Linked DNA regions of Oryctolagus cuniculus. The protein of the gene in region 2 interacts with the protein of the main gene of each other region in a pairwise test. Links are inferred from orthologs where the notes say so. Each region holds a gene or a part of one and is shown on either strand. Other genes may lie near its edges. The genes, in order: APTX, PNMA1, RUSC1, SPG7, HOXB9, FMNL2 and SPATC1L.

What was found.
Region 1: the proteins of PNMA1 (region 2) and APTX interact in binary tests that used the Homo sapiens proteins (3 or more experiments, as listed by UniProt). The two-hybrid records come from large-scale screens. The link is inferred for Oryctolagus cuniculus from reciprocal best matches to the Homo sapiens genes PNMA1 and APTX.
Region 3: the proteins of PNMA1 (region 2) and RUSC1 interact in binary tests that used the Homo sapiens proteins (3 or more experiments, as listed by UniProt). The two-hybrid records come from large-scale screens. The link is inferred for Oryctolagus cuniculus from reciprocal best matches to the Homo sapiens genes PNMA1 and RUSC1.
Region 4: the proteins of PNMA1 (region 2) and SPG7 interact in binary tests that used the Homo sapiens proteins (3 or more experiments, as listed by UniProt). The two-hybrid records come from large-scale screens. The link is inferred for Oryctolagus cuniculus from reciprocal best matches to the Homo sapiens genes PNMA1 and SPG7.
Region 5: the proteins of PNMA1 (region 2) and HOXB9 interact in binary tests that used the Homo sapiens proteins (3 or more experiments, as listed by UniProt). The two-hybrid records come from large-scale screens. The link is inferred for Oryctolagus cuniculus from reciprocal best matches to the Homo sapiens genes PNMA1 and HOXB9.
Region 6: the proteins of PNMA1 (region 2) and FMNL2 interact in a two-hybrid assay, tested with the Homo sapiens proteins (2 studies listed by BioGRID). The two-hybrid records come from large-scale screens. The link is inferred for Oryctolagus cuniculus from reciprocal best matches to the Homo sapiens genes PNMA1 and FMNL2.
Region 7: the proteins of PNMA1 (region 2) and SPATC1L interact in binary tests that used the Homo sapiens proteins (3 or more experiments, as listed by UniProt). The two-hybrid records come from large-scale screens. The link is inferred for Oryctolagus cuniculus from reciprocal best matches to the Homo sapiens genes PNMA1 and SPATC1L.

The regions. Positions count from the first base shown.
Region 1 is NC_091432.1:196,420,894-196,425,192, forward strand, and holds the start of APTX (aprataxin), read right to left. Parts: upstream 2,801-4,299; 5' UTR 2,268-2,800; coding exon 2,257-2,267; intron 1-2,256. UniProt on the Homo sapiens protein: DNA-binding protein involved in single-strand DNA break repair, double-strand DNA break repair and base excision repair.
Region 2 is NC_091451.1:19,888,785-19,892,809, reverse strand, and holds the start of PNMA1 (paraneoplastic antigen Ma1), read left to right. Parts: upstream 1-1,225; 5' UTR 1,226-2,276; coding exon 2,277-3,338; 3' UTR 3,339-4,025.
Region 3 is NC_091438.1:43,229,694-43,233,896, forward strand, and holds the start of RUSC1 (AP-4 complex accessory subunit RUSC1), read right to left. Parts: upstream 2,801-4,203; 5' UTR 2,665-2,800; intron 1,971-2,664; 5' UTR 1,887-1,970; coding exon 524-1,886; intron 260-523; coding exon 1-259. Other genes in the region: FDPS (farnesyl pyrophosphate synthase), read right to left, coding at 2,997-3,197, 3,551-3,685, 3,779-3,856. UniProt on the Homo sapiens protein: Associates with the adapter-like complex 4 (AP-4) and may therefore play a role in vesicular trafficking of proteins at the trans-Golgi network. Signaling adapter which plays a role in neuronal differentiation.
Region 4 is NC_091449.1:69,189,019-69,193,275, reverse strand, and holds the start of SPG7 (mitochondrial inner membrane m-AAA protease component paraplegin), read right to left. Parts: upstream 2,801-4,257; 5' UTR 2,751-2,800; coding exon 2,577-2,750; intron 1-2,576. UniProt on the Homo sapiens protein: Catalytic component of the m-AAA protease, a protease that plays a key role in proteostasis of inner mitochondrial membrane proteins, and which is essential for axonal and neuron development.
Region 5 is NC_091448.1:24,894,128-24,897,622, forward strand, and holds the end of HOXB9 (homeobox protein Hox-B9), read right to left. Parts: intron 2,281-3,495; coding exon 2,045-2,280; 3' UTR 501-2,044; downstream 1-500. UniProt on the Homo sapiens protein: Sequence-specific transcription factor which is part of a developmental regulatory system that provides cells with specific positional identities on the anterior-posterior axis.
Region 6 is NC_091434.1:89,261,057-89,264,556, forward strand, and holds part of FMNL2 (formin-like protein 2), read right to left. Parts: intron 2,227-3,500; coding exon 2,077-2,226; intron 1-2,076. UniProt on the Homo sapiens protein: Plays a role in the regulation of cell morphology and cytoskeletal organization. Required in the cortical actin filament dynamics.
Region 7 is NC_091435.1:687,924-692,157, forward strand, and holds the start of SPATC1L (speriolin-like protein), read left to right. Parts: upstream 1-1,434; 5' UTR 1,435-1,559; coding exon 1,560-1,761; intron 1,762-4,234.

The DNA.
Region 1 (4,299 bases), on a different chromosome or scaffold from region 2:
TCGGGTGGTCACTGACATCAAAAATAAGTCTTGAGGCCGGCACTGTGGCACAGAGGGTTAACGCCATGGTCTAAAGCACCAGCATCCCATATGGGCGCCGGTTCGAGACCCAGCTGCTCCACTTCCTGTCCAGCTCTCTGCTGTGGCCTGGGAAAGCAGTGGAAGATGCCCAAGTCCTTGGGCCCCTGCACCCGCGTGGGAAACCAGGAGGAAGCTCCTGACTCCTGGCTTTGGATCAGCGCAGCCAACTGGGGAGTGAACCAGCGGATGGAAGACCTCTCTCTCTCTCTGTCTCTGTGTAAGTCTGACTCTCAAGTAAAATAAATAAATCTTTTAAAAAAAATAAGTCTTAATTGTTAAATCAACAACAGGAGTCACTGTGCACTTACTCCCCATGTTGGACCTCTATCCTTAATGAGGTTGTACTATGAGAATTAACAGCAAAACCTGTCTTCAAACAGTACTTTATAGTTTGTGTCTCTGTGTGGGTGCAAACAGTGGAAATCTCTACTTAGTACAGAGTTGGTCTTCTGTATATAAAGTGAATTAAAAATGAATCTTAATGAAAAATGGAATAGGAGAGGGAGTAGGAGGTGGGATGGGAGGGCAGGAATGGGGGAAAGAAACACTATATTCCTAAAAGCTGTACATATAAAATCTGTATTCATTAAATAAAAACCTTTAAAAAAAGAAACAAAACAAGGTCTCCTATAAAAAGCATTAAAAAGGTTAGAAGATTAAAAATTTTGCCTTCATCAGAGAAACAACCCATCCTCTGAGACTACAGGAAAAGCAGATAGGTGTAACCTAAGTGATTTTCTAAGAAGGGAAAACATCTAAAACCCTTTCTCCATAAAAGAATTCATAACAACAGGGGCCAGTGCTGTGGTACATCCAGCTAAGCCAGCACCTGCAAGACCAGCTTCCCATATTAGCAACTGTTCAAGACCTGGCTGCTCCACTTCCAATCCAGCTCCCTGCTAATGCACCTGGGAAAGCAGCAGCAGATGGCCCAAGTAGGTGGGCACCTGCCACCCACATGGGAGACCCAGATGAAGCTCCGGGCTCCTAGCTTTGGCCTGGCACAGCCCGAGCCTTTGTAGCCATTTGGGAAGTGAATCAATGAATGGAAAATCTCCCTGTGAACCTAATTCTGCCTTTCAAGTAAGTAAATCTTTGAATCTTTAATGAACAACTAGAGAAAATCACTGAAGGGTAGTGACCCTCAAGGCCTCTTCTAGAAAAAAAAAAAAAAGATTTATTTATTTATTTGAAAGTCAGGGTTATAGAGAGCAGAGGCAGAGAGAGACAGAGAGGTCTTCCATCCACTGGTTCACTCCCCAAATGGCCACAATGGCCAGAGCTGCGCAGATCCGAAGCCAGGAGCCAGGAGCTTCTTCTGGGTCTCCCACACAGGTGCAGGGGCCCAAGAACTTGAACCACCTTCTACTGCTTTCCCAGGCCATAGCAGAGAGCTGGATCCGAAGTGGAGCAGCCAAGACTTGAACCAGCACTTGGGATGCCAGCACTGCAGGCAGTGGCTTTACCTACTACATCACAGCACCGGCCTCTCAAGGGCTCTTAAGTTGGACACCTTGAGTTCAAATCTGGGCTCCACCATCTACTCATTGCATGGCTTCAGTCAAGTTATTTAACCTCTGAAGCTTTAAACCCTTCTCAAATAAAATTCCTCTACGTTTGTCACAAGGGCTAAATGAGACAGGTGTAAAACTCAGCGTCTGGCAAAACTAAGCAGGCAACACCATCATCGTTCTTGTTGACAGTGAAGGTATGATGAACGCAGAAGCAGAGAACGGGTAAAGGCATCATCTAGGAGCGGCTGTGGCCTAGAGCGTAAAACCAGCACCTGCAGTGCCGGCATCTCATATGGACGCCAGTTTGAGTCCCAGCTGTTCCACTTCCAATCCAGCTCTCTGCTATGGCCTGGGGAAGCAGCAGAGGATGGCCCAAGTCCCTGGCCCCTGCACCCGCGTGGGAGACCCAGAAGAAGCTCCTGACTCTAGATGGGCTCAGCTCCGGCCACTGCGGCCATCTGGGGAGTGAACCAGTAGATGGAAAACCTCTGCCTGTCTCTGCCTCTCTCTCGCTGCCTCTGCGTCTCCGTAACTCTACCTTTTAAATAAATAAATAAAATAAGATGATCGGCCAGCAACGTGTAAGGTGCACGGGCACAAACCTATACCTGTGCTTCTCCCCACTTCCCAACATAAGCCACACTCCCAGAAGGCTCCAAACCTGGACCACATTCCTTCCAAATGCGAAAGATCTTTCTACTGTACTGAGCCGCTAGCCCCGGTCTCTAGGGGAAGAGGCTTGCTCGGTCTGGCTTTCCTAAGAGCCGCTGAGAAGTTTGTGAAGGACCCTCGAGCTCCTTCGAAAGCGCTTCTGGCGGAAACGCTGTCCCTGCCGACAAGCTGGGCCGCCTCCTTGGGTTGGACAGAGCCCGCTCTCTAATTAGTCCGTGTTCTGCTTGCGTTGGGTCCAAGCTCAATACAGAGGTCAGGGACACGCGAGAACTAACGCCAAGTGGGGCAGAGACCACCGCGAGCGCCTGCTGAAACGGCGCCCGGGAGCTGAAGGGAGAAAGAGGCAACGTCTTCAAAGACGCAACAGCCACGAGAGCGTCCGTGAGGACACGTCTCCCAAGCGTAGTGGCTGCACGGACCTAGCGCCCACATCCGCAGCTCTCAACCCAGCCAGGAGAGGCAGGCCTACCACTGCCTTACCGCTCGGCGACACAGAGCGACGCGCTCACGTTACTCCAGCCGTGCCTCACAGCTTCCGGCGCTGCCGGATCACGTCGCGAGACAGGCCACAGCGCGGCCGGTGATGTCACCACGGCCTCTCCGCGGATTGGCTAACAGGCTCTCCCAATGCCCGGATGTAAAAAGTGCCCACCCACAACTGGTCCCTCACTGGCCCAAGCGTGGGTCTTGGCAGTTAGCCCAGGCGAACGAGCTGTCTCGGCGTCTACCTAAGGGCCATTCGCTTGTCGCTGCCTCTCAGTCTGGACTGCACGAGACTTCAGGCAGCAAACCCTCCCGTGGCTTTTTCCAGGCGGCCATGCTGCCTCCTGACGCTCCCGTCGCTAAGCAGTAGCTCACTGCCTGTAAGGTCATCTCCCCTGCAGACGAGACCTGCTGAAGCATTGCCGTCCCCTTTCTAAACTACAATGCATCTTCTTCCCGTTCAGGAGACAAAGGGCTGCAGCGGGCAGAGGCCGAGGAAGCCTGCTAAGATTTTTTTTATTTTTTTTTTTTAATGCTGTCTTCACTAAAGGAACTCCTGGACAGTCAGGGAGAGAAGCAGGATGCAACAATCAATGATATGGGCACTGATTTTTAAAGCCATTCCAGGACGTTCCCTAACCCCTGTCATGTATTGCAATTATTCCAAGGTATTTTGGCAGAGGGAAGAATTTTTTTTTCATTTCTTTGAAAGGCAGAGACAGCGATCTTACGCCCACTGGTTTACTCCCCAAATGTCCAGAACAGCTGATCTTAGACCAGGAAAGAAACCCAGAACCATTAATTCAATCCAGGTCTCCCATGTGGGTGGCAAGGGTCCAATAACTTGAGCCATCACAGCTGCCTCCCAGGGTGGATATTAGCAGGAACGGGTGGCAGTATCAAACCCCATGGAACAGGGGTAAGAGGACATCTTAACTGCTGTGCCAAACACACACACCCCAGATGGAAGATCTTCTATCTCATGGGTGAAGACATAGTGCATATTTTTTAAAGACTTTTTTATTTATTTGAAAGACAGAGTTAGAGAGAGAGAGAGAGGTAGAGTCAGAGAAAAAGAGGTCTTCCATTCCGTTGGTTCACTCCCCAAATGATCGCAACGACCAGAGCTGAGCCGATCCGAAGCCAGGAGCCAGGAGCTTCTTCCAGGTCTCCCACGCGGATGCAGGGACCCAAGGACTCGGGCCTTCCTCTACTGCTTTCCCAGGCCATAGCAGAGAGCTGGATCGGAAGAGAAGCAGCTGGGACTCAAACCAGCGCTTATATGGGATGCTGGCGTTGCAGGCTGGGGCTTCAACCTGCTGTGCCACAGCGCCGGCCCCATAGTGCGTAATTTTTCTCAAACACAATAGAAACCAAGCCTTGAAGAGTCACATTTCTTGATCAAGGTGGACTACTGTTTTCTTCCATGGAAAAGCAGAGACCCAAGGATATGATGAAAATACTAGAGCTGTCAAGACAAGAGGCTCTTCGAGGAAACAGGAGAGACTCGTTTTTGCTAGCAGCGTTACATTAGGGTCACACCAGGAAG
Region 2 (4,025 bases):
CGGCCAAAGGAACTGCCCATACTTAACTGCCTCAGTGACCTGATCTCTCATGTGCCAGATGCCTAGATGAAGAAGGAACACAACACATCCCGAAGCCTCGGCTGTTTAGCACCCTCTCCACGGGGGCCCGCTTTTCTGGACAGTATTTATTACTAGACTGGCAAGCCTGACTCCTTTAGGTTTACAGGAAGTGTGCATATTTTTATAAAACAAGTGTCCTCCCCCCCCCATTTTGCTGTGTTACTGTTTGCCTCTAACGATTTGCAGCTGTTTCTGTTTCACCTTTTACTCATTTGTCTCCAAGTTGAAGGCCTTGTAGGAGGGGACAGCCTTGACAGTCTGTAATTATTGTACAAATATTTTAATAGCATATAAAGAAGTATATTCCTTTTATTTTGAAACAGATGATCAGACACTGCCTTTTGTGTGTTTGCTGCCTGTGGCAACCTTTTTTAAAAAAGACTGTTACATATGAAAATGGTGTACATATATATAAATATATAAATATTACCTCTTTGGCTGTACAGTTGTGATAGAGCAGATGGAAGATTTTATTTTTTGTGTGCTTTTTATATAAAAATTAATACACTAAAGAGAATCTTGCTGATGTGATTGTAATGTACCTATGTAACTTATTTACTTTTGAATGTTCTTCTGTATCTTTAAACCTTTCATTAAATAAGGTTTTAAAAATTCAGAGTTGGATGCTGTGTTCTTTTGGGGGATTTTCATCCTCTGAGATTGACCGAAGCGGCCCTTGCTCTGGCTTGAAGAGTACCCGAGGCAGGGATTACAGAATACTGGTGCGTTGCCAGCTGTAGGTAGGTAGGTGGCCGGCCTTTTGACTAAGTGTTAGATAAGAGGAAGTGGCCGGCGCCGCGGCTCACTAGGCTAATCCTCCGCCTAGCGGCGCCGGCACACCGGGTTCTAGTCCCGGTTGGGGCGCCGGATTCTGTCCCGGTTGCCCCTCTTCCAGGCCAGCTCTCTGCTGTGGCCAGGGAGTGCAGTGGAGGATGGCCCAGGTGCTTGGGCCCTGCACCCCATGGGAGACCAGGAAAAGCACCTGGCTCCTGGCTCCTGCCATCGGATCAGCGCGGTGCGCCGGCCGCAGCGCACCGGCCATTGGAGGGTGAACCAACGGCAAAGGAAGACCTTTCTCTCTGTCTCTCTCTCTCACTGTCCACTCTGCCTGTCAAAAAAAAAAAAAAATTAGAAAAAAAAAAAAGATAAGAGGAAGTGTCCAGTCTGTGTGTCACACAAGTGGGATACTTGGGAGCCTTCGTTTCCTCTGGATGAGATGCCGTCCACGCACCTGGCTTGATGCGCCAGTTGCATGAGCAAGTCAGCCACCACGGGTGATACCCACTAGTATCTGAAATCCGCTCCGGATTAGAAGACAGAAGCCCTCGATGCTTATTGGTATTTTTTTTTTCATTGTAAAAGTCTGGAACATCTGATGGCTGCGGTACCATGGCAACCGCTCCCCCCACCCCGCGCCGCTGCGCACGGAGTCTTCGGGAGCGCGTCGTCCGGGACACCGTTGCCATGGTCACGCGCGCGCGCCTCGCCGGCGACCTGGATCCGGTGCGGCGGCCGCGGCTCGCGGGCCGGCCCCGCCCTGCACTGCGGCGGGAACGCGCCGGCTGCCGAGCTGCGCCACAGCCGCCGCAGCCCGTCGCGCCACGCGAGCCCGGCCGGCCCCACCAGCCTTCGCCTCCCGCCTCGCTTCTGCATCCTTCCTGCGTCTTTGCTCCCCTCAGCCCTCGGTTTTCAGCGGTCCTCGCTGTCCGGAGGGGTCCCCGCGCCCGAGAAGAAGCCGCTGCTCGCCGGCTGGCCCGGCTGCCGCCGCGGTGACCTCGGACAGCCTCTCCCGCCGGGCCCGGCACGCCGAGCGCTCCTTCGGGCTGCCGCTCCTCGCCCCGCTGAGGGCCGGGCTCGGACCGCCAGCGCCGGGGCGACTCCGGGAGCGGCGGCCACGCCCCGCGGCCACACCCCGGCGCTCCCGGGCCCCGCGGCTCCCGCAGGCTGCACTCTGGGGCCGCAGACCCCGACCCGGGACGCGAGATGGCGACAGCCGCGTGACTGACTGAGCCCCTGCGAGGCCGCGCCGGGGAGCCGCAGACGGACAGCGGGGCTTGGGTGTCGCTTGTTACCAGCGACCGCGGGGACCTGCCGCCCGCGCGCCTGCTTGCGGGGAGTGTCTGGTGTTGGTTGGAGTTCGGGGAGCCGCAGTCTGATCCGTATCTGTCGAATCGGTACCTTTGATAGTTGGGAACATGGCGATGACGCTGTTGGAAGATTGGTGCAGGGGCATGGACGTGAACTCCCAGAGAGCGCTGCTGGTTTGGGGGATCCTAGTGAACTGTGATGAGGCTGAAATCGAAGAGACCCTCCAGGCTGCGATGCCCCAGGTGCCGTATCGAGTGCTTGGGAGAATGTTCTGGAGGGAAGAGAACGCGAAAGCAGCCTTATTAGAGCTCACTGGCGCTGTGGATTACGCCGCGATCCCCAGGGAGATGCCTGGCAAAGGAGGGGTGTGGAAAGTGCTTTTTAAGCCCCCCACGTCTGACGCTGAATTTTTAGAAAGGCTGCACCTCTTCCTAGCTCGGGAGGGGTGGACCGTGCAAGATGTTGCCCGCGTCCTTGGGTTTCAGAACCCGGCCCCGGCCCCGGGCCCCGAAATGCCAGCCGAGATGCTCAGCTATATTTTGGATAATGTTATTCAGCCTCTCGTGGAGTCCATATGGTACAAGAAGCTGACGCTGTTCTCGGGGAGGGACATCCCGGGGCCTGGGGAGGAGAGCTTTGACTGCTGGCTGGAGCACGCTAATGAAGTCATAGAGGAGTGGCAGGTGTCCGACACAGAAAAGAGGCGGCGGCTGATGGAGAGCCTCCGGGGCCCCGCCGCCGACGTCATCCGCATCCTCAAGACCAGCAACCCCGCGATCACCACCGGCGAGTGCCTGAAGGCGCTGGAGCAGGTGTTCGGGAGCGTGGAGAGCTCTAGGGATGCGCAGGTCAGGTTTCTGAACACGTACCAGAACCCGGGAGAGAAGTTGTCGGCTTACGTCATTCGTCTGGAGCCGCTGCTGCAGAAGGTGGTGGAGAAGGGGGCCATTGATAAAGAGAACGTGAACCAGGCCCGCCTGGAGCAGGTCATCGCCGGGGCCAACCACAGCGGGACCCTCCGAAGGCAGCTCTGGCTGACCGGCGCTGCGGAAGGGCCGGCCCCGAACCTCTTCCAGCTGCTGGTGCAGATCCGTGAGGAGGAGGCCAAGGAGGAGGAGGAGGAGGCTGAGGCCGCGCTCCTGCAGTTGGGCCTGGAGGGGCACTTCTGAGCCCCAGGAAAGAGGGCTGCCGTGCAGACCCGGCCCGCAGCTGCTGTCCTGGTCCCGAGTAGTAAAGGCCTAGCTGCCTGCTGTTTTCGTTGTGTTTTTCTTGGAGGGAGGGGGTTCTGGCCTGCCCGTTCCTGTAACTCCGCCGACACTGCACAGAGCATGGGGAGCTGCTACAATGCCGATGGGCTTGCTGGCTGCGGCGCCCGCTGTCGACATGCCGGCACCCTCGGCTGTGACAAGTGTGAACCCGTGACTCTTCCCATGGAGATAAATGTGAAGTCGCACGTGCAGATGTTTAGCCCAGGGCCTGGCTCGCAGGAACCGTGAACCATCACATTGTTATCAGCGTCGAGGCTAGTGTGTGTTGACTGTAAATCATTCCATGTTTATATTAATGGAAAGAAACGTGCATTGTTTAGGTAATACTGCTCAGCCTCACAGTGCAAATCTCTTAGTGCTCATCTTTAAAGAGCCGGATCTGTGGAACAGAGTGTTCTGAGACTCCAGCTGGGGCGCTGGAAAAGGACTGCAGTTCCGGAGCTGTGCTGATCAGAGGTCGCGCAGAGAAACCACCTGGGGAGATGGCTAGGACCCGGTGACAGTGACCCACCCATCCCCCCACTCCCCTTCCAGTCCTTGTCAAAATAGTTCTTGTTCACCCAGATTTTAAATGTTCTACATTTGAAC
Region 3 (4,203 bases), on a different chromosome or scaffold from region 2:
GCCAGCTCAGGGCTGGCCAGGCAGGGTAGGGCCCCCCGCGTCGGGGGCGAGTAGGCTCCCACCGGGGACAGGCGGACGGGCAGCAGCTGCTCCTCCGGGGGGCTCGGCGCCCCCAGCAACCGCAGCCCGGCGCCCGGCCGCCGGGCCAGGGGCGCAAGGAGCAGGGACCCAGCTGCGCCCGCGCCCTCACCCGCCAACAGGGGGCGCCCGTCGGCAGAGAGCCGGAAAACCAGGGGTCGGGGGAGTAGGAGGGGACCGGCTGCAGGCAGGATTGGCGGGGCCAGGCGCAGAGGGGAGGGAGGGCAGCGGGGCCAGCAGCCAGGCAAAGAGGGGCGGGAGAAAGAGGGAGCAGAGAGTTAGTCCCGTAGCCCAAGGGCCCGCCCGGTTTCCCTTTCCCGGAGCGCTCCCTGGTGGAGGGGGCGGGGAATGACACAGAATGGAGACAGGGGGCGGGGCTGGAAGCTCGGGAGGAGTGGGCGAGGCCGAAGCCCAGCCCTCCTCTCCGGTTCCTGCAGTCTCTTACCCTCGAGGCCGCTCTGCGCGCCGGGCTCCTCAGGCTCCTTCGCGGCTGGGGCCTCCTCGCCAGCCGCGGGGCTGGCCGCCCTGCCCTCCTCGGGCTGCCCCTCCGCGATGGGTTGTAGCCCGAGCCGGTTCTTCTTCCTCCGGGGAGGGACGGGCGGGGGTGGGGGCCGGGGCGGCACCAAGGCCCAGCCAGCTGGGGGGTCTCGTGGGGGCACGGGCGGGGGCGGGGCCCGGCTTCGGGACCGCAGTTCCTTGAAGGTGGTGACCTCCCGCGGAGCCGCCGAGGTGCCGCCCAGCGAGCCGGCGGGGGGGAGCTCGGTGTCCGGAGAGAAAACTATGAGCCAGTCGCTGCGATCTTTCTTGGCCTGCGGCACCGGGGGCAGCCCCGAGCCCCGCTTGCGCTTCTGGGCCAGCTCGTGGAAGGACGTGATTGTCCGATGGGGCGCCGGCTCTTCGCTGACGTCACTTCTCCATCCCCCATCAATTTTTCCTGCATCTGTTTGCGAGCCGGAATCAGCTAGTCCTGTGTTGGTTTTCCAACAAGAGTCGAATTTCCCAGGTTCCGTTTTCCAGTTAGTATTTCCGTTGGTTTTCCAACCAGAGTTATTGTTGTCGGGGAGGTTCCATCTAGCTTCAGCGTTCTCTGTGTCAATTTTCCAAATGGGGTTGATTTTCCAACTGGGCTCCGTTTTCCCAACATCGATTTTCCCATCTTCCGCCTCCGAGAGCTCAGAGGTGGGAAGGTCCTGCTCCCCACTCTCCTCCTCGTCCTCCAGGCTCGGGGAAGCGAGGTCCTGGGCGGCGGTCAGGGCGTTGCAGTTGGAGTCCAGGTCAGGGCCGGGTGGGGAGGAGGTGCCTGAGCAGGAATCGGGGGAGCAGCAGAAGCTGTCCGGGGAGCAGGGCCCAGGGCCTGCTGCAGCAAGTGGGGAGCCCTGCCCCGGGGGCACGATGCTGGGCTGCGGGTGGCCATCCTCGGTGCGAGGGAGGTCGCGCAAGTAGACGGAGACCGGCGACTCGTCCGGGCTCAGGTCAGAGCAGGAGCTGAGAGAGGAGGAGCAGCCCGGGTCCGAGGGAGAGGCCACCCCTTCCTCCTCCTGAGACGGATCCTGCCGGTTTTCTAAGGCTGCTGGCCCGTGTTCCTGGCAGCATCGGCAGGGCACGGCTGGGCTGTTGGAATTGGCATCCACCAGGGTCCCGCTGCAGGGGCCCCTGCTCTCCTTGCCCCCAGTGTCTCCCGGGGGAGGGGGTGTGCTCAGGGGCCCCTCGCGCAGCTCTGGGCGGCGGGACAAGTGCAGGCCTAGGGAGACGTGCTGGAGGTGGATGTGGTTGAGGTTGCAGAGTAAAGCCCTCTGAGGGGACAGCATGGTGCCGGCGGCGACGCGATGGCCTCTAAACCGGGAGGATCCGGCCTCTCACATCCACCTACCTGGCAACCGCAGAATGCAGACCTAGAAGCCGGGGGTGGTGAGACCCAGCCAGTGAGGGCAAGGGCCGGGGAAGGACACGGAGGTGACTGACTCTGGCTGCTTTGGAAGATATTTAAATAAGATGCAAATCGCCATCGACTGGCCTTTAGTTTCCACTGCAGTGTTTGCAGGTGGAGTCGAATGTACAAGCCCCCCCACACACACACACACCCCGCCCCAGGAAAGGAGCGGGAGGGTCAGAGAATGCGGCCCCGTGGGGGTGCAGAGGCTTGGAAGAAGATGCAGCCCAGAATGGATCCCCCGGCCCTGCTGCAGCAAGCTGACCCTGCCCTCCCTCCAGCCTACACCTCCCTCTCAGAGGAAGGGGCCAAGGGAGACCCCGCCCAAAAGGTCTTAAAAGCAGTGGGGGGGGGAGGGGCCGGAGGGGATCAGGGCAAGCCCCGTTAATGCAGGAAAGGGGCGGGGGCTGGAGGGGGAGAAGGACAGAGAAGCCGTCAGGACGTCAACTCTGCATCCGCAGGCTGCCCTGCACCGGCTCCAGCCTGCAGCCTCCGTACGCCCTTACCCGGCTCGCTACCGAGGTCGCCTGTCCATTCTCTCGCTCATCTCCATCATCTAACCACCACCCACCACCCCTGCGCTATTCACTAATACTCCCGCTGGCCTGCCCCACCCCGCCAGCCCCGGTCGATCCCACGTGCCGAGCCCTCCTCACCAGGGTCCTCCTGGAACCGCTCCGGCCCTGGGCTGGTCAGCGGCTCCCACCGTCCCCGCCCGGCGGGGCACAGAGCCGAGGGGAGGGGAGGGGCGCTGGGCCAACCCGCTCCGCTGCGCAGCCGCACCCCTCCGCGCATGGGCGTGGCGTAGCCCAGCCCCGCCTCCCCGCGCCTGACGTCTTGCCTGTGTCACCCACCTAGAGCCAGCCTGCAGCCGCCTCGCCCCCGCCCCGACACAGCCGGGCCCCAGGTGACTTGAGCACGCACAGAACCACAAGGTTACACAATAATTTATTGACAGCCTCCTCTCCCCTCCCTCGCGGCCTCCAGGTCACTTTTTCCGCTTGTATATCTTGCGCGCTAGCCCCAGGAAGATGGACGCGGGTAGGGGCGCAGCGTACTGCTCGATGAGACCCATGAGGTGGCCGTAGCTGTCCTCCTCGTACTGCGAGAACACGGCCGGCAGATCCAGCTCCTCGTACAGTGCCTTCACCCGGGCCACCTTCTCGGCCTCCTTCTGCCCATAATTCTCCTGGGGGGGGGGGGAGACTGCGCTCAGCCTTACCTACCCTCGGCCTCCAGCTCTCCACACCCTTCATTCGGATTCGAGAACATCCACTCCTGCCCCCTGCCCCAGCCCAAATGGTCAGATACTGCCTGGGGCTTCAGCTTCCTCTGCCCTCGAATTTCGCCACTTTGGGGCCAGATCATTCTTTTTTTGGGGGTGCTGGTGCTGTTCTGCGCACTGTGCGAGGAGGAGCAGCTCCCAGTGGACACTGGCAGCCTGCGACAGCGACCACCTGCAGACCCTGCCGGACGGCACCCAGGGGTGACACCCACCCCCCGGGGTGAGACTCCCGGCTGCCCTGGCCCTCTCCCGGGCACCTGCAGGATCTGACGCTGTTCCGGGGTGGCCCGCTGCAGACACTGGACCACCAGCCAGCTGCACTTGTTGTCCTGGATGTCGGTGCCAACCTTGCCGGTCACACTGGGGTCCCCAAAGAGGTCGAGGTAATCATCCTGGCGGGGGCAGGCAGGGAGGAATGAGGCGGCTGGGGGGGGGGGGGGCGAGGAAGCTGGTGCCGGACCCCCCACTGCCTCTGGCCTTCCTACCTGAATCTGAAAGAACTCCCCCATCTCCAGCAGGATCTTCTTGGCATTCGCGTGTTCCTTCTCCCCGTCAATGCCTGCCTGGATAGGGAAGAGCCTAAGGAGCCGACCCCCAAGGCGCTCCAGCTCCCTGGCCGCTTCCTCCACGGGCTCTGGTGCTCCTGTGGCCCTCAGATCACCTCCTTCAGACGTCCTCGGCCTCCCTGACCCGGAAGTCCTGACTGACAGTCCACCTTCCCGGCCACTCCTGGGAGACCAGTTCTGAGGGCGCTCAGACTCACTCTGCCCTCACAATTCCCAGCTCCCAGGTCACTTGGGTCCCCTCTTGTTCTTCACCTTTGTGTCACCTCCAGTTTCCTCCTGGGTGAAGAGCACTTGGAGAAGCAAGGCCTTCTGGGACCTGGCCTTCGCCCACGTGACTGAACAGT
Region 4 (4,257 bases), on a different chromosome or scaffold from region 2:
GGCACCACAGTACTCGGGTCACACGGCACCACAGTACTCGGGGTCACGCGGGCACCAGAGCACTCGGGGTCACGCGGGCACCACAGCACTCGGGGTCACGCGGGCACCACAGCACTCGGGGTCACGCGGGCACCACAGTACTCGGGTCACACGGCACCACAGTACTCGGGGTCACGCGGGCACCACAGTACTCGGGTCACACGGGCACCACAGTACTCGGGGTCACACGGCACCACAGTACTCGGGTCACACGGCACCACAGTACTCGGGTCACACGGCACCACAGTACTCGGGGTCACGCGGGCACCACAGTACTCGGGGTCACGCGGGCACCACAGTACTCGGGGTCACGCGGGCACCACAGTACTCGGGTCACACGGGCACCACAGTACTCGGGGTCACACGGCACCACAGTACTCGGGTCACACGGCACCACAGTACTCGGGTCACACGGCACCACAGTACTCGGGGTCACGCGGGCACCACAGTACTCGGGTCACACGGGCACCACAGCACTCGGGGTCACACGGCACCACAGTACTCGGGGTCACGCGGGCACCACAGTACTCGGGTCACACGGGCACCACAGTACTCGGGGTCACGCGGGCACCACAGTACTCGGGTCACACGGGCACCACAGTACTCGGGGTCACGCGGGCACCACAGTACTCGGGTCACACGGGCACCACAGTACTCGGGGTCACGCGGGCACCACAGTACTCGGGGTCACGCGGGCACCACAGTACTCGGGGTCACGCGGGCACCACAGTACTCGGGTCACACGGGCACCACAGTACTCGGGGTCACGCGGGCACCACAGCACTCGGGGTCAGGCGGGCACCAGAGCACTCGGGGTCACGCGGGCACCACAGTACTCAGGGTCACGCGGGCACCACAGTACTCGGGTCACACGGGCACCAGAGCACTCGGGGTCACGCGGGCACCACAGCACTCGGGGTCAGGCGAGCACCAGAGCACTCGGGGTCACGTGGGCACCACAGTACTCAGGGTCTCACTGGCACCACAGTACTCAGGGTCTCACTGGCACCACAGTACTCGGGGTCTCACTGGCACCACAGTACTCGGGGTCACACGGCACCACAGTATCCAAACAATGCAGACTGCAGGCACTGGGCACAGCAGGAAGACAGCACTGGGGACCCACAGCCCCTGCTGCAGTGTCTGGGTTCAAGCCAAGTGCACCCTGGGAGACAGCAGATGAAGGCTCAAGAGCTCGCTCTCCCGACACCCGTGGGAGACCAGTGTGCGGTTCCTCGCCCTCAGCTTTGGTCTGACCAGTGTGCGGTTCCTCGCTCTCAGCTTTGGTCTGGCCTGGGACCAGCTGTTGCGGGCATTTGGGGAGTGAACCAGCAGATTAGAGATCTATATCTCTCAATTAAAAAAACAGTAAAAGTTTCAATAAAAAATTTTAAGCTCAAATATAAATTTGCTTACAATGCCCTGAAATGTGACTTAACTATCTGAACATTATTTCCAAGTTTTGAAGTAACAAAGCAACAGCTCCTGAGCCAGCCAAAGGCCGGAGCTGACTGCCCTGCACCGCCCAGGCCCTCGCAGGACGCCAGGGGCGGTTCTCCAAGGTACTGCTCAGACCCCTTCTGCGTTCCCGACCCCAGCTCCTTGCAGAACCCCACCAGGTACCAAGGCAGCGCGCCAGGGTAAGTGGCCGCCTGCAGTGCCAGCACGCCACATGGGTGCCGATCCAGCTCCCTAACGCTCCCGGGAAACAACGGAGGACGCCCAAGTTACGGCTCCCAGCTCCTGGCTTCAGCTGGGCCCAGCCATTCCAGCCAAGGTGGAAGAAGTCTCCGGCTCTCCCGTCGTCTCTAACTCTGCCTTTCAAATGCATACATATTTTTAGACCACGGTCCGGTTTAATCTGTCCCATCTCTCTCCCGCCACTTGTTTAAGTTCTGTCCTCAGAGCATCCCTGCCCGGCTGAGTCTCCCGCCCCCTCGTGTCCACAGCAAGGACAGCGGTCAGCACCGCGGGGGGCAGGCCTGGACCCTTCCTGCCACCACCCCCGGCCCGCGGGGGGCCTGGGGCTTCCCCGGCAAACCAAGGGGGCCACAGCCGCCGGTGAGACAGCCTACTGCAGTCTTCGTGGCACAGAACAGGATGTGCAACAAATCAGCACTGGCCTTCGGGTTCAGCGCGACCACGGGTCCGGGTTTAGGGCTATATAGATTACATATAATTTATAACTTAATAGTTCCCTCACGGATCACGGTAAAACACGACGTACTGTAACGTGAAACCTGAGGGTGAGCTTCAAGGGCCAGAAAAGCACACTCTGGGGCTGCTTCTGGGGTCCAGGCGCCCCGACCAGGCGCGCCCCGGGCTCCGGCCCTGCGGTCCCGCGGGGGACCCGAGACGGGTCCGTGCGCCTCTCCCCCAGAACAGCGACACCGCAGCACGGCCCGCCAGCCTGGCCTGCAGGCTGAGAACCGCTCCGCCAGAAGCCGCACACTCCGGAGACGGCAGCAAACACCCGCACACCGCGTTCACACCGGGAAGGCCGCCGTCTGGGCTCAGGGCGCCGCCCGCGGGGTTACCTGTCGGGCGCCGCCTCCGGCACGGCCCACTGGAGGCCTGAGGGCCACGTACGGCCGCCTGCTGCAGGCTCCGTTAGAGACGCCCGGGCTCCAAGCAGGGCCTGGGCGCCACAGCCACACGGGACCGGGGCCCGGGCCTGGCCGAAAGGCGCGCAGCAGCAGCATTGCCGCCATCTTGGCCAGAGACCAGCGCCTGCGCAATCTGCGGGCGTTCCCTGGGCGTCTGCGCGAGCAGGGCCTCCTCACGGCGCCTGCGCAGTCGGGCGCGGGCGGGGCCCCCTGCGGCGCCTGCGCAGTCGGGGGCTTCCTCCGGACGTCTACCCCGGCAGGGCCTCCTTGGGGCGCCTGCGCGTTGAGGGCCTCGACTGCGGCTGGGGTCTGGTTCTCGTTTATTCCTGCGGAGCGGGCGGCCTGGGGCGCTTCTCACCCCAGCGCCGGCGCCGCTGTCTCGAGGCCCAGCAGTGGCGTCTGCTGCCTGCCTGGACGGAAGCGGGGGCCGTGCCCGGGAGGGGGCCTCCGCCCTGGGTCTCGGGGCCCTGGGAGCCCGGAGCGCAGCCTGCACCGCGAGGGCGGAGGACGGGGCAGCGGGCGGTCCCGCCGCGCCCCGGCTCTGCAACGTTCTCTGTCGCCGCTCCTCGGCGGCGCCCGGTCCCGGGCTTGCGTGCCTCGCTGTGCGCCCGCCGGCTGCGGGGAGCCGGAGAGCTCGCTGTGTGAACATGGCGGCGCGTGGTTCTGGGTGTTGCTATTTCCCTGTCAAAGCCGGCCGAGCGGGCGCTGTCAGCACCTGTTTTACAGGTGAGGAAGCGTCCCTCCGGGTGTGCGCAGGCCGCCCCCGCGGGTCCCGGGTGCTGGCTCTCACCCCTGCAGGGGGTGTGTGTGCAGGGCAGCCGCGGGCCCCGGGCTGCCCCGCCGGCCTCGGGTCCCTCCTTACTGCCCGGGCACCCCCGGGGGGCCGCAGGTGAGAGTCCTGGCCACCCCCGTGGGAGGCTTGGGCTTCAGCCTGACTCAGCCCCAGCGCTCTGGGCATCTGTGGAATCAGCCTATGGTTGGGAGTCCTGGCTCTGCCCCTCGGAGGGATGAGATGGCCGTGCCAGCTTGTGGTCGTCTGGCCAGCTTGGTCCCGTGACTACAGTCAGGCTCCCTGGGCAGCTTGTGCTGTGCAGCCCCGGCAGGAAGTGACCAGCACCCAGCCCTCGGCAGGTGACCTGTGACTCAGCCTCAGTAGCACGGGTGGCCTGCGAAACCACTTGTTCCGCCCTGGAAGGCAACCACAGGCAGGACTCCAAATTCAGTACATATATAGCACTCATTTTTAAGTTTCTGTTTATTTGAGAGGCAGCGAGAGGTTTTCACCCACTGGTTCACTCCCCAAATGGCCTTAATGCCCAGAGCTGGGCCAATCCGAAGCCAGGAGCCAGGAGCTTCTTCCCGGTCTCCCACGCCGGTGCAGGGGCCCAAGGACTTGGGCACCTTCCACTGCTTTCCCAGCCATAGCAGAGCTGGATCAGAGTGGAGCAGCAGGACAGGAACCGGTGCTGGAGGTGGAGGTTTAGCCCACTATGCCACAGTGGGCAGGCTGTTTTAAGTTGATAATTCTGTATGGCCCGTGAGTGATGTTATAAATATCCCAGTGGCCCTTGGTAGGAAAAAGGTTCTCGAAATCCACTCCAGCAAAGGCTAG
Region 5 (3,495 bases), on a different chromosome or scaffold from region 2:
GACCCGACGCCCTCAGACCAAGGCTGCTAGGTCCTGGTTAGTTCACAGGGGTGCCTGGGACCCCAGGAACCCTAAGGAGCCCCACCCCCACCTCCGCCCCCTCGAAGCCCTCAGCCTCGCACCTGGGGGCAGGGAAAGGCGGAGGGGTCCTGCTGCTTTCCTCCCTGGCCTCCCTCTCTCTCAGCGGCCAGAGCGCAGGGCTCCCAAGACCTGCACTGCCTGCTTTACTCCCCCCTCTCCGGGCTCCCCAGGCGGTGGGCAACTGTGGGGGGAAAGCCCACTCAGAGAGACCCAGTCCTGGCTCCATTCTCCCCTCCCGCTGCACCTCCCCTGGTCCTCGCTCTGTCCAGGCAGGGCTCTGGGGGCCTGGGTCTGGCGCCAGCTCTGAGCGCTGCCTAGGGGCCACCTGGGCACAGTCAAGCTTGTACGACTAAATCCCACTTTGGGAGTCTCTCTCTATGGCCAGACCGGGAACAGCTCGCACAAAAGAAGACACGAGAGATTTGTTTTTCTAGAGTGATATATATTTTTTGTTCTTTTTTTTCTTTTCTTTTTCTTCCAAAACAAACAATTAGAGCTCTAGGCTCCTCACCCACCCCACTCCCACCCACCACCCTCCCCCCCCCCCAGAAGCCACGACTGAAAACACGCGGGACGATCACCCCCCAAAGAAATCACAAAACACAAGCACAATTTCACGACAGCCACGGACACAGCGAGAAAGTTCTACTGGAACTGCCCCTGTGCAGGGTCGGGAGAAGAGTCCCGCGGGACGGAGGGGTGGGGGCGCAGGGCGAGGAAGGGAGGCAGAGAGTCCTTTTCCTCCTGCCGCTTAGGTGCGGTTTGGCCTCTGGGCTCTGCACGCGGGCATGCAAGCTGCAGCGGCGGCTGCCAATCGGCATCCAGGCCCGCATAGCGGGAGGCAAAGCGGGGCGCCGGCGCGGAGGGCGGCCGCAGAGCATCGGGCTCCTCCGGGTTGGTCGGGAGGGGAAGAAACACGCCGAGCTCCGAGCGCTGGGGCCATGGCTGGTCCCGGTCCCCGACAACTTACTCCGGAAAGGCGCTCAGGCATCAATTCACACTAAATTCTCCATCGGGCTCCCCTGATCTGACGTTCCTGTCTATAGTGGGGCCGACCTGGCAGGGGGCGGGCGGTGTGTGTGTGTGTGTGTGTGTGTGTGTGTAGGGGTTTCTCTTACAAGGGGCAGCTGATTCGCTGGTGCAAGGTGGATTTGACCAGAGTGGACTTCCGATCTAGGGAGGATGTGGAAGGAGGGATGCGGGGCCGGTGGAGATGGAGGAAAGCTACGGTCTATGTCAAGTGGGGCACAAACGGACCAGGGTCCACATTGTCACAACTGGAGGACCCACAGGGTGACCTGCTTTTGTTGGAAGGAGAGGAAAACATCATGCAGAATTAAACATTTCCTGCAACAAAGTGGGGGGAGGGGGGAGCTCTTCATAAAACTACTCTGCCTTTTCTACCCTACTGGCCTGGGCACTGGGTCTGCCCCATGGGGACAGTGTGGCCCTGCTGAGGCCTGAAGCACCTCATACAAGGGTCCCTCTCTGACCTCTTCCTGCTGTGCCTTTGCTTCAGGGCTAGGACCCCCGCTCCGTCTCCCCCCTGGTTACCGTGCACGCTAGGCTCTATATACATGGGCGTCTGCTGGGCCCTATGCACCTGGAGTGTGCCTGGGTGACTGTGGACAGCCTCAGCCTCGGGGGAGGGGACAGGCAGGCTGTGAGGGCTGCAGCTTCCCAGGAAAACTCAGGTCTCTCTTCCCATGTGGTCCATCACTGGTCTTAGCAATCAACTACTTCTACCTTCTAACTCAAGGAAACTTCCTGCGGGTGCCCAGGGAGAAGCAGGGGGTCAGGTAGGGGCGAGGGAGGGGAGCGAGGCTCTGGGACTTGGAAGAGAAAGATTTCCCCTCCCCACTCACTCAAACACTGCAGATGGCACTGGCTTTGCAACCTTCACATAAATAAGAGTGAGCCGGAGAGGGCTGGGGAGGGCTGGGGGTGGGGGCTGGGCTCCTCTTTACTCTTTGCCCTGATCCTTACTCATTTTCTTCATTTTCATCCGCCGGTTCTGAAACCAGATTTTGACTTGTCTCTCACTCAGATTGAGGAGTCTGGCCACTTCGTGCCTACGGTCCCTGGTGAGGTACATATTGAACAGAAACTCTTTCTCTAGCTCCAGCGTCTGGTATTTGGTGTAGGGACAGCGCTTTTTCCGGGAAGAGCGAGCGTGCAGCCAGTTGGCGGAGGGGTTGGCTGAAAGAGAAGCAGCGACAGAATCAAAGAAGGGAAGGGAGGGGACAGGGAAGGGACCAAGACCAACAGGGTGCTCCCCGGCCCCAGAGAAGAGGCACCTGGGCCTGCCAGCTCCCGAGAGGGGCCAGCTCTGTGGCAGACACCTCCAGGGGACAGGACAGACTCAAACTCATGCCCAGACTCCCCCCAGCACTCCCCAGGCTGTGCTGCTTCAAGCGCTCACTCCAGCCTTCTCCAGGTGCCTCCTAACTGCTTAGACTTCCACCCTGGCTGCCGCCTGGCCACCCCCAACAGCACTGGCTGGCTAGAGCAGTGGCTGACCTGCAGCGTCCTGACTCTAGGTCCCTGGGAAACAAGACGGGGCATCGGGTGGGTGAGCAGGGGGCTTCTGCTCAGCCACAGCTGGCAAACCTCTCAGGCTTCCAGTGCCATGAGTCCTCTCACGCCTGCAGGCCATAGGCAAGTGTGGCTGTGCAACTCGCTCCCCCCGGCCCCCCAATGCACACCACTTGCCACACACCGCAAACACAGGGTCTGCCCCGAGCGCCGTGGCCACCCTGCACACTCCCATTCACACACAACCCAATTGCACCCATCTATCAATTGCAGCCTAGGAACGCAGCAGTGCTGGGCTCACAGATAACTTATGATTGCAATAGTGTCTCCTTGCCTACAGCTCAGTGCACGGGCTGCTTACAACACAAGTTCAGGGAAAGTGGGAAGCAAAATTGCTCCAGTGCCAAGGTGGAGAGCCAGGGGAACCAAAAGCCCTGTGCAGCACGCCTGGACTCTACCTGCCGGGGAGGGCTGGGGACAGAGAGAACAGTCACACTGAGTCGGAGAGGGGCAAAAAGAAGAAATCAAGATACACAGGCTCTCTTCTGCCCACCTCTCCTCCCACACTGGGACGCACAGAAGTTGCCAAATCCAACAGAGCTCATTAAACACCACAACCACCCTCTCTATTAGTTTCATTCTCTCCAAATAAAAACTATTGAATACCTTTAAGAAACAATTTTGCTTATCCTACACTCAGTACCCTGGCTTACCAATGTGCTGTGCTACTTCCTTAATGTGAGTGCCTGGGCTGGGACTAGCAGCCGCATTAAATATGAAAGAGGAAAAAACTGTTAATAATTGATCCTGGCCAAATGGCCGCCTCGAAATAATGGGTTTTCCAGACAGACTTTGCTGGGCTATGGGCTGTGTGTGTGC
Region 6 (3,500 bases), on a different chromosome or scaffold from region 2:
CATTTCTTCAGGGACCAGTAATGATAGAGAGATCAGTAAGGGACGAGGGAAACGGGAGTCCACTTCCACAGCTTCCCAAGCAAGGGCATCGAGCAAAAGCTTTCCGAAAGTATTGATTCAGAAATTTTGGTTGTGACATTCCAGGTAACCAGTTGAAACAAAACAAAAACTACTGCTTGTTTTAAACCAAACTGATCAAATATTGAGCACTATTTGAGAGACAACTGAAATAAACAGGTGGCCTGCTGTAAGTAAATACAGAAGTACGGCCATGCAGCAGCGGCTGTTCTGCACAGCAGTTGAGATGCTGCTTGGGGCACCTGCACCCCTCGTGCAAAGGCTTGGGTGGGAGTCCCAGCTCCAGTGCCAGTTCCAGTCGCCTGCTGATGCATGCCCTGAGAGACAACAGCTGACTGCTGTTGAGGTACCGATGTGGGGGAGATCCGGATAGAGCTCCAGTGCCTGGCTTGGGGCCGGGGCAGTCTCTGCTATTGTGGGTATTTGAGGAATGGATAAGCATATGGAAAATCTCCACCCTACCCCAATCCTTCAAATAAAATGACATTAAGTTTAAAAAAATTTTTAATTTTGTGAAAAATGGAATTAAGTTTTTTAAAAGTATGGTCATGTAATGTTGGCAGTGGTTTCAAGAGAAACACAGAATGGGTCATTTTACTTTATGCCAAATGCTCTTAAAATTTACCTATTTCTGATTTTTTACATCTCAATGAAAATAATCCTAAGCAAAGACAAGGTCAGGAGGAAGCATGGAGATTTCTACTGTTCAGACTGAATCATTTAAGTTCAGAATTATTGAGCCTACAAGTTCTCTTCCGAAGTGGAAGCCGACCAGCTCACTGGAGCACTTACAGAGGGTTTCTGGATCACTCACTTGGCCTAACCACAAACCATGAATATGCCCATTTGCAGAGTGATGGGAAAAGGTAGAGGAAACCAAACACACGCAGTACTCTTTAAAAGAAAAATGTAGAGGAAAATAAATGAGCTGTTCCATGGGAAAAAATAACATTCCTCCACAAAAGGGACAACTCAGTTCACAATCAAGTGAAGTACACATCAGAAGTTATCAAAAGAATTTGGACCTCATAATACTGGAATTTCTGAGAAACACCATTTTTCTGTTCATTTTCACAGTACTGAATGCTCTGTTCAAAACATGAACAAGTGAACAATCTCTGAGGACCTACAGACTAATATTCAACTTGGAAAAGTCCCTCAAAGAAAGCTGCATCCCTGTTGGTACAGAGCTGACATCACACTGGGAGGACACTTCCTCCACGAAGTATAGTCAGGTTATTTAGCACAGCAGCTAAGGGACCCCACATCCCACATGGGAGTGTAGTTCCAGGCTCAGCTACTCTCTTTCGGATTCAGCTTTCTGCTAATGTGCACCCTAAGAGGCAGAAGATGACAGCTCTACTACTTGGGTTCCTGCCCCTGACATGGGAGACCCGGATTGAGCTTCATGCTCCTGACTATTGTAGATATCTGGAGAGTGAACCGTTGGTTCAAGTCAGGAGCTGGAGCTCAGGATTGAACCCAGGCACTCCAATGTGGGATTTAGGAATCTTAATCAGTATATCTTAACCACTAGGCCAAATACGTGCCCCTGTTTAGAATTTGAATAGCCATCAGACAGGAATGTTCAGACCTGCATCACAGAGTTAGCTAATCCTGCCCATGGCCCTGTGTGAACATATTTAAGAAGGTGGCTAAATTCAAGAGATACTCCTTTGACTCAGACCAAATTCCCATATTTTATATCCTCCCATCTTGCAGGTGATGTCAATCATCTAACTCTCCATAACCGAAGTCATCAGGAAACACAACCCAGCAGAACCTAGCAGGCAAGCAGACAGACTTGATTTTGTTTTATGTAACACATCTGGTTTCTTTGAAAGACCCCAGAGTGGCTTCTGACAGCTCTCTATCCTAGGTTAGAGCTCATTGCTACACTTCAGCTCCTTTAACTTATTGCCATAAATGCTTGTCATTACTTCTGCTTTGCACCCAGTTGAAATGTCAGCAATTTTTCCCATTCTGAGACCGACTTACGTGAGAGATGTTCTCTTCCAGTTCTTCCACCCTCTCCAAGGCTGCATTCTTGGTTTCAGCATCTTCCAGCAGAGCTCCTACATCAAACACATTGTCCAAGTAAGCCTGAATCTGTACCTGCAGCTTGTCACTCTCTGTGTGTTTCAGCTTCTACAAACCAGAACGTGACAGAAGACGGTGTTAGCTTCTCTGAGGAAGCAGAATATACCAAGAGTCTATGCATTCTGTTTGCTCGAAGAGCCCAGCTTTTCCACAAGAAGGCTGAAGATATCATCTACCTTAAAAGAATTGTGGAGTAACAGCCTGAGGGAGGACCACCAGATTACATTCTGGTGACTACACTCTCCCAAACACACACACATTTTCCTCCTAATCCTTCCTGCTCCATGTAATTAGGTTGTAACCTAGAACATCTGGGTGTAGGTGAAATTGGGACAACAAAAAACATCCAAGCAGCTCCCAAAGGAAACAATGGCTAGCAACGTAAAACTTGAGGGTTGTCTGTGTAACACGAGAGACTAGAGGGAGTGGGACCTTGCCTAGAAGTGATGGGGTTGCAGCGAGGCCAGAGGGTTAGGTGGAATATGGGGTAGACACTGCTTGAGTTTATACTTAGCCTTCAGGCTTATTTTAGCAAATTCCTAGGGCCTATATCCCATGATTTCTTCCCTAAGGTAGAGCGCCCAACAAAAACAGCTCAGGGCTCCCAAAGCACAGATCAGAAACCTTTCCCCAGCTTGCTGCATCCAAGGTCAAGCATCAAGAATAAACTCAGCTACCTTTAAGATGATACTAGAAGGCAGCCGGCACTGTGGCATAGTGGGTAACGCAAACGCCAGCAGTGCCAACATCCCATATGGGTGTCAGTTCGAGTCCCAGTTAATCCACTTCCCATCCAGCTCCTGCTAATGTGCCTGGGAAAGTAGTCCCTGGACCCCTGCACCCACATGGGAGACTCAGAAGAAGCTCCTGGCTTCAGATTGGCTCAGTTCTGGCTGCTGTGGCCATTTGGAGAGTGAACCAGCAGATGGAAGATCTCTCTCTGCCTCTGCCTCTGCCTCCCTGTAATTCTGCCTTTCAGACAAATAAATAAATCTTCGCGGAAAAAAGGATGACAATAGAGGTCAACAATCAGTAAATCTTCCCTACATGTCATAGGTTATGACCTTCCCTGGAGGAAAGATGAGTGGTGAGAATAGTATCTGGTACGTGGATGATGTCAATAAACATTTATTGAACAAATCAATGACTACCTATAAAAAAGTACTTAGGTCACTACATGCTTATAAGATAGCTCTTCTAATCACACGTATCCATCAGGATCCAGAATTAACATAACACAAAGCTAAATAAACACTGAGTTTTGGGAAAAAAATCTTAAATTTTGAAAAGGTATCCCACTCTATAAAAGTTCTCATGAAAAT
Region 7 (4,234 bases), on a different chromosome or scaffold from region 2:
ATGCAGAATACAAAATTACAGAATTTCTGGAAGATGACACTGGAAGAAACCTAGGTGACCTTGGATTTGATGACAACTTTTTAGATGCACCACCAAAGGCCCAAACCGTTAAAGAAAACATTGATAAGTTGCACTTAAAACTGAAAATTTCTGCTTTGCAAAAGGTGTGTCAAGAGAATGTAAAGCCACAGACCAGGAAGAAATAACTGCACAAGATGTGACTGCTAGGGCCTGTGGGGCCCCAAGGGATGCGCAGCCATGGAGCCCCCACGTCAAGGTCGGTCTGATAGCTGTTGCTGTGTCTTTATCACAAGGCGGATGTTGCTAGTTTCGGTTAGGGCAATGCTTTCCCACGGTCGGGACTTTCCAGAGGAGTTGAGAATGTTGTAAACAACAAGATGGCGCCGAGGACCGTGCGGCGAGCCTGCCTGCTGCGTGACACCTCATCTGATTGGCCCGAGAACGCGTGCACACTGCGTGAACAGACAGCAGATTGGAGTGTTCCGTGCATGGACTTGAGCCCGCTTGCAATTGGCCAGATTTTGTATATAAGCTATGTGCTGAGGAAGGAGGGGGCTTTTCTGTCCACTCTCCTCCCTTCATTCTTTCTCTGTCGCTGTTATTTTCCCATTAAAAGTCTGCTGAAGACCGATAAGCTGCGAACAGTGTCGTTCCTTTGCGGGCAAGGGAGCGGCAGGGCCGGTGTTGTAGAGCCATGGTTCCACTGCCACCTGCAGAGCTGGCGTCCCGTCTTGGAACACGGGCTCAAGTTCTGGCTGCTCTGCTTCTGATCCAGCTTCCTGCCTATGCACCTAGGAAGGCAGCAGAAGATGGCCCAAGTACTTGGATCCCTGCCACCAAGGGAGACCCACGTGGAGTTACAGACTCCTGGCTTCAGCCTGGCCCAGCCCTGGCTATTGGGAACATTTGGGGAGTGAACCAGCAGATGGAAGATCTCTGTCTCTCCCTCTGCTTTTCAAATAAGTAAATAAGTCTTTTTTTTTTTTTTAAAGATATATCTGATAGTTTTAGTATCTAAAAAGACTTGAAACTCAGCAATAAGAAAAATGGGCCAAACACCTCACCAAAGAAGACACACAGATGGCACAAAAGCACACTATGTGCTCCCCAATTGGAAAACTAAAGAGAAAGATACTCTACCTTTATATTCATCTGAGGAATGCAGATTAAAACCATGAGCTGTTGTGGTACTCCTGTTACAATGGCCAGGTCGAGAACACTGACAAGACCAAATGTTGACGAGTAATGGGAGCTGTCATCGCTGGTGGGAGTGCAAAGTGACACAGCCGCTCTGGAACAGTCTGGTGGTATCTGAACCTCAGATACCACCTGTGCACTGTGGGCATCGGACTTCCATGCCTGGCGGGGTCAAGGGGTGGGAGGGGCCCGGCCAGGGCCGGGCAGTGACATCACAAGGCCGCGGAAGGCAGGGCAGCTGTGGAACTCTGTGGTCTCAGGCTGTTTCTGGAGGATCTGCGGGCCCTGGATTTCCATCTCGATGGGGCCGCAGGCCCACCCCTGAGCACCCAGGGCTCAACATGGCTGAGGGGAGCGAGCTGATGAGCAGGCTCATGAGCGAGAACGCAGACCTGAAGAAGCAGGTGCGCCTCCTGAAGGAGAACCAGATGCTGAAGAGGCTGCTGAGCGAGAGCTGCCAGGAGACCTGCGGCCGCGGGGGCCGGGACCTCCTCTTCCCCAAGGCGTCTGCCTACCCCGAAGCCTGCTCCCCCGTGAGCGGAGGTGAGGCACGGGCTGGGCACCGGGGGTGTGGAGGAGGCCTGCTCCCTGCACGAGCGTCCTGTGCTCAGGTCTGGCAGACCAAGGCCCTAGGGCCCTCTCTGCCGCACCCTCGGGGAAGGTCCTGCTCTCTGTGCCACTGGGTCTGCACCTGGAATGTAGTGGAGTGTGCTAGCCCTCGGCCGGGGTGGCCTGGAACTGGCGGTGCGTGGGCTCTGCAGGGCGCCTGTGCAGCGCGAGTGGGCAGGGGAGTGAGCTGGAGCCGTGGCCTGTTCACCAGCCAGGTGGACTCCAGCCTTCGAAGGCTTTTTACAGAGAACCTAGAGTTTTATCACTTTCTGCAGAAGTAGTTGGCTCTGGTGAAAAAAAAAAAAGTTTCATTCATGGAAAGTGTGGCTGGGAGTGTGGTTGATGGGTGTGGCCTTGGCCTTTGGTTGGGACGGAACCTCTCATCCAGCAAGTTCAGCTGCGCCCTGGACCTGGTGCCTGCTCAGCCAGGATGGGGACAGAGGGCACATCCCAGCCTGCCCGTCCCAGCAGTGGGGCAGGTGGCCTGGGAGCCTTGCCGGCTGCAGGAAGGAGCTGCTGACAAGGCTGCTGCTGACGCCCACTGCATGCCCAGGAGGCTGGTCTCTGCGGAAGGCTTGCAGACCTTAAGCTGGGCTTTCCCAGAGACTGGTGTCCAGCAGGATCTGGGGCTCTGAGCCCCGAGTTTCCCCCTGGAAACTCTGCGGTGCAGGATGGCCCAGCGGCAGCAGCAGGCATAAGACCCTCTGACGGTCACATGCCAGCTACCGCAACACACGGCCTCACTAGCGCCGTTGACCTTGGTGGGGACGCTTAGCAGAGTGCCGCCCGAGACCCAGTGCCATGAAGGTTGCTGTCCCTGCCCTGTGAGGCTGGTAGCGGAGCTCAGGGCCTGGGACCTCCCTGGGCACCCGGGGGACGCTGGTGTCTCAGCCGCGTGCTGTGGCCCTGTCTCTCACTGGCGCACAGCTTTCCTCTGCCCGTCAGCTCCCCCCTTGCCCGTGGGAGCTCCCGCAGCGCTGGAGCCGCTGAGCTGCTGCAACAGACCCTTCACGCCCCAGGGACGTAACTGGCTCAGCAGCTTCGCCCTCACGAGCTCCAGGCAGGGGTGAGGGCTCCTCGGCCAAAGGCCAGGGCTGTTGAGTAGACACTCCCAGTGCTCTGCAGAAGTCCACTGTACTGACGGCTCCCTGACACCGGGCATCGCAGATGTCCACTCTGTCCCCTTCCGCCACGCGGCCAAGGCCTCCCTGTGTGGGCCTTCCTGGACCGTGGCTCGGCTTGGTGGGCCTGTGATGCACATGTTGAACAGGCCCAGAGGGAGCGCAGCCTCGCTCTCACTCCTTGGGCGCCTGTCCCTTCGGTCTGCCTCCCGCGCACTGCCAGGGGCCCGCAGCGGCCAGCTGGGGTCCTGGTGTTGCAGGCCGGCTCTCAGAGGCCGAAACGCTGGCGGCTCCTTTGGAGCAGCTCTGGGCCACCGGTGCTCTTTGCACTGAGACAGAGGACTGCCCGTGCTGCCGTGAGTGGGTCTCGAGTGGCTCGGCCATATTCCAGAATCCGACGGCTCCTGGCTCCTGACTTTGGCCTGGCCCAGTTCTGACTTTTGTGGCCACGTGGGGAGTGAACAGTGGGTGGAAGATCTCTCTCTCCCTTTCTCTAATTCTGCCTTTCAAATAAATAAAATATTTTTAAAGAAATTAAAAGAAACAGAAAAATTGAGCAATGTCTCATTCCGTTTACCCTCGTGATCCCTCTTCTGCCTTGCTGGAGGGCCTGTCACTTCCGCCCCCGGTCCAGGGCGGCTCGCTGCACTGCTGTGCCCCATCCCGCAGGGTCACCGCCCCGGCCCAGGACAGCTCGCTGCACTGCTGTGCCCCAGCCCGCAGGGTCACCACCCCGGGCCCAGGACAGCTCGCTGCATTGCTGTGCCCCGGCCTGCAGGGTCACCGCCCGGACCCAGGGCAGCTCGCTGCACTGCTGTGCCCCGGCCCGCAGGGTCACCGCCCCGGGCCCAGGACAGCTCGCTGCATTGCTGTGCCCCAGCCCGCAGGGTCACCGCCCCGGGCCCAGGACAGCTCGCTGCACTGCTGTGCCCCAGCCCGCAGGGTCACCACCCCGGGCCCAGGACAGCTCGCTGCATTGCTGTGCCCCGGCCTGCAGGGTCACCGCCCGGACCCAGGGCAGCTCGCTGCACTGCTGTGCCCCGGCCCGCAGGGTCACCACCCGGACCCAGGGCAGCTCGCTGCACTGCTGTGCCCCGGCCCGCAGGGTCACCACCCGGACCCAGGGCAGCTCGCTGCACTGCTGTGCCCCAGCCCGCAGGGTCACCGCCCCGGGCCCAGGGTACCTCGCTGCACTGCTGTGCCCCAGCCTGCAGGGTCACCGCCCCTCGCTGTGTTCTGGACATCTGTCTGGAAGTTTTACACAGTTATTTCGGCACTCTTCTTTG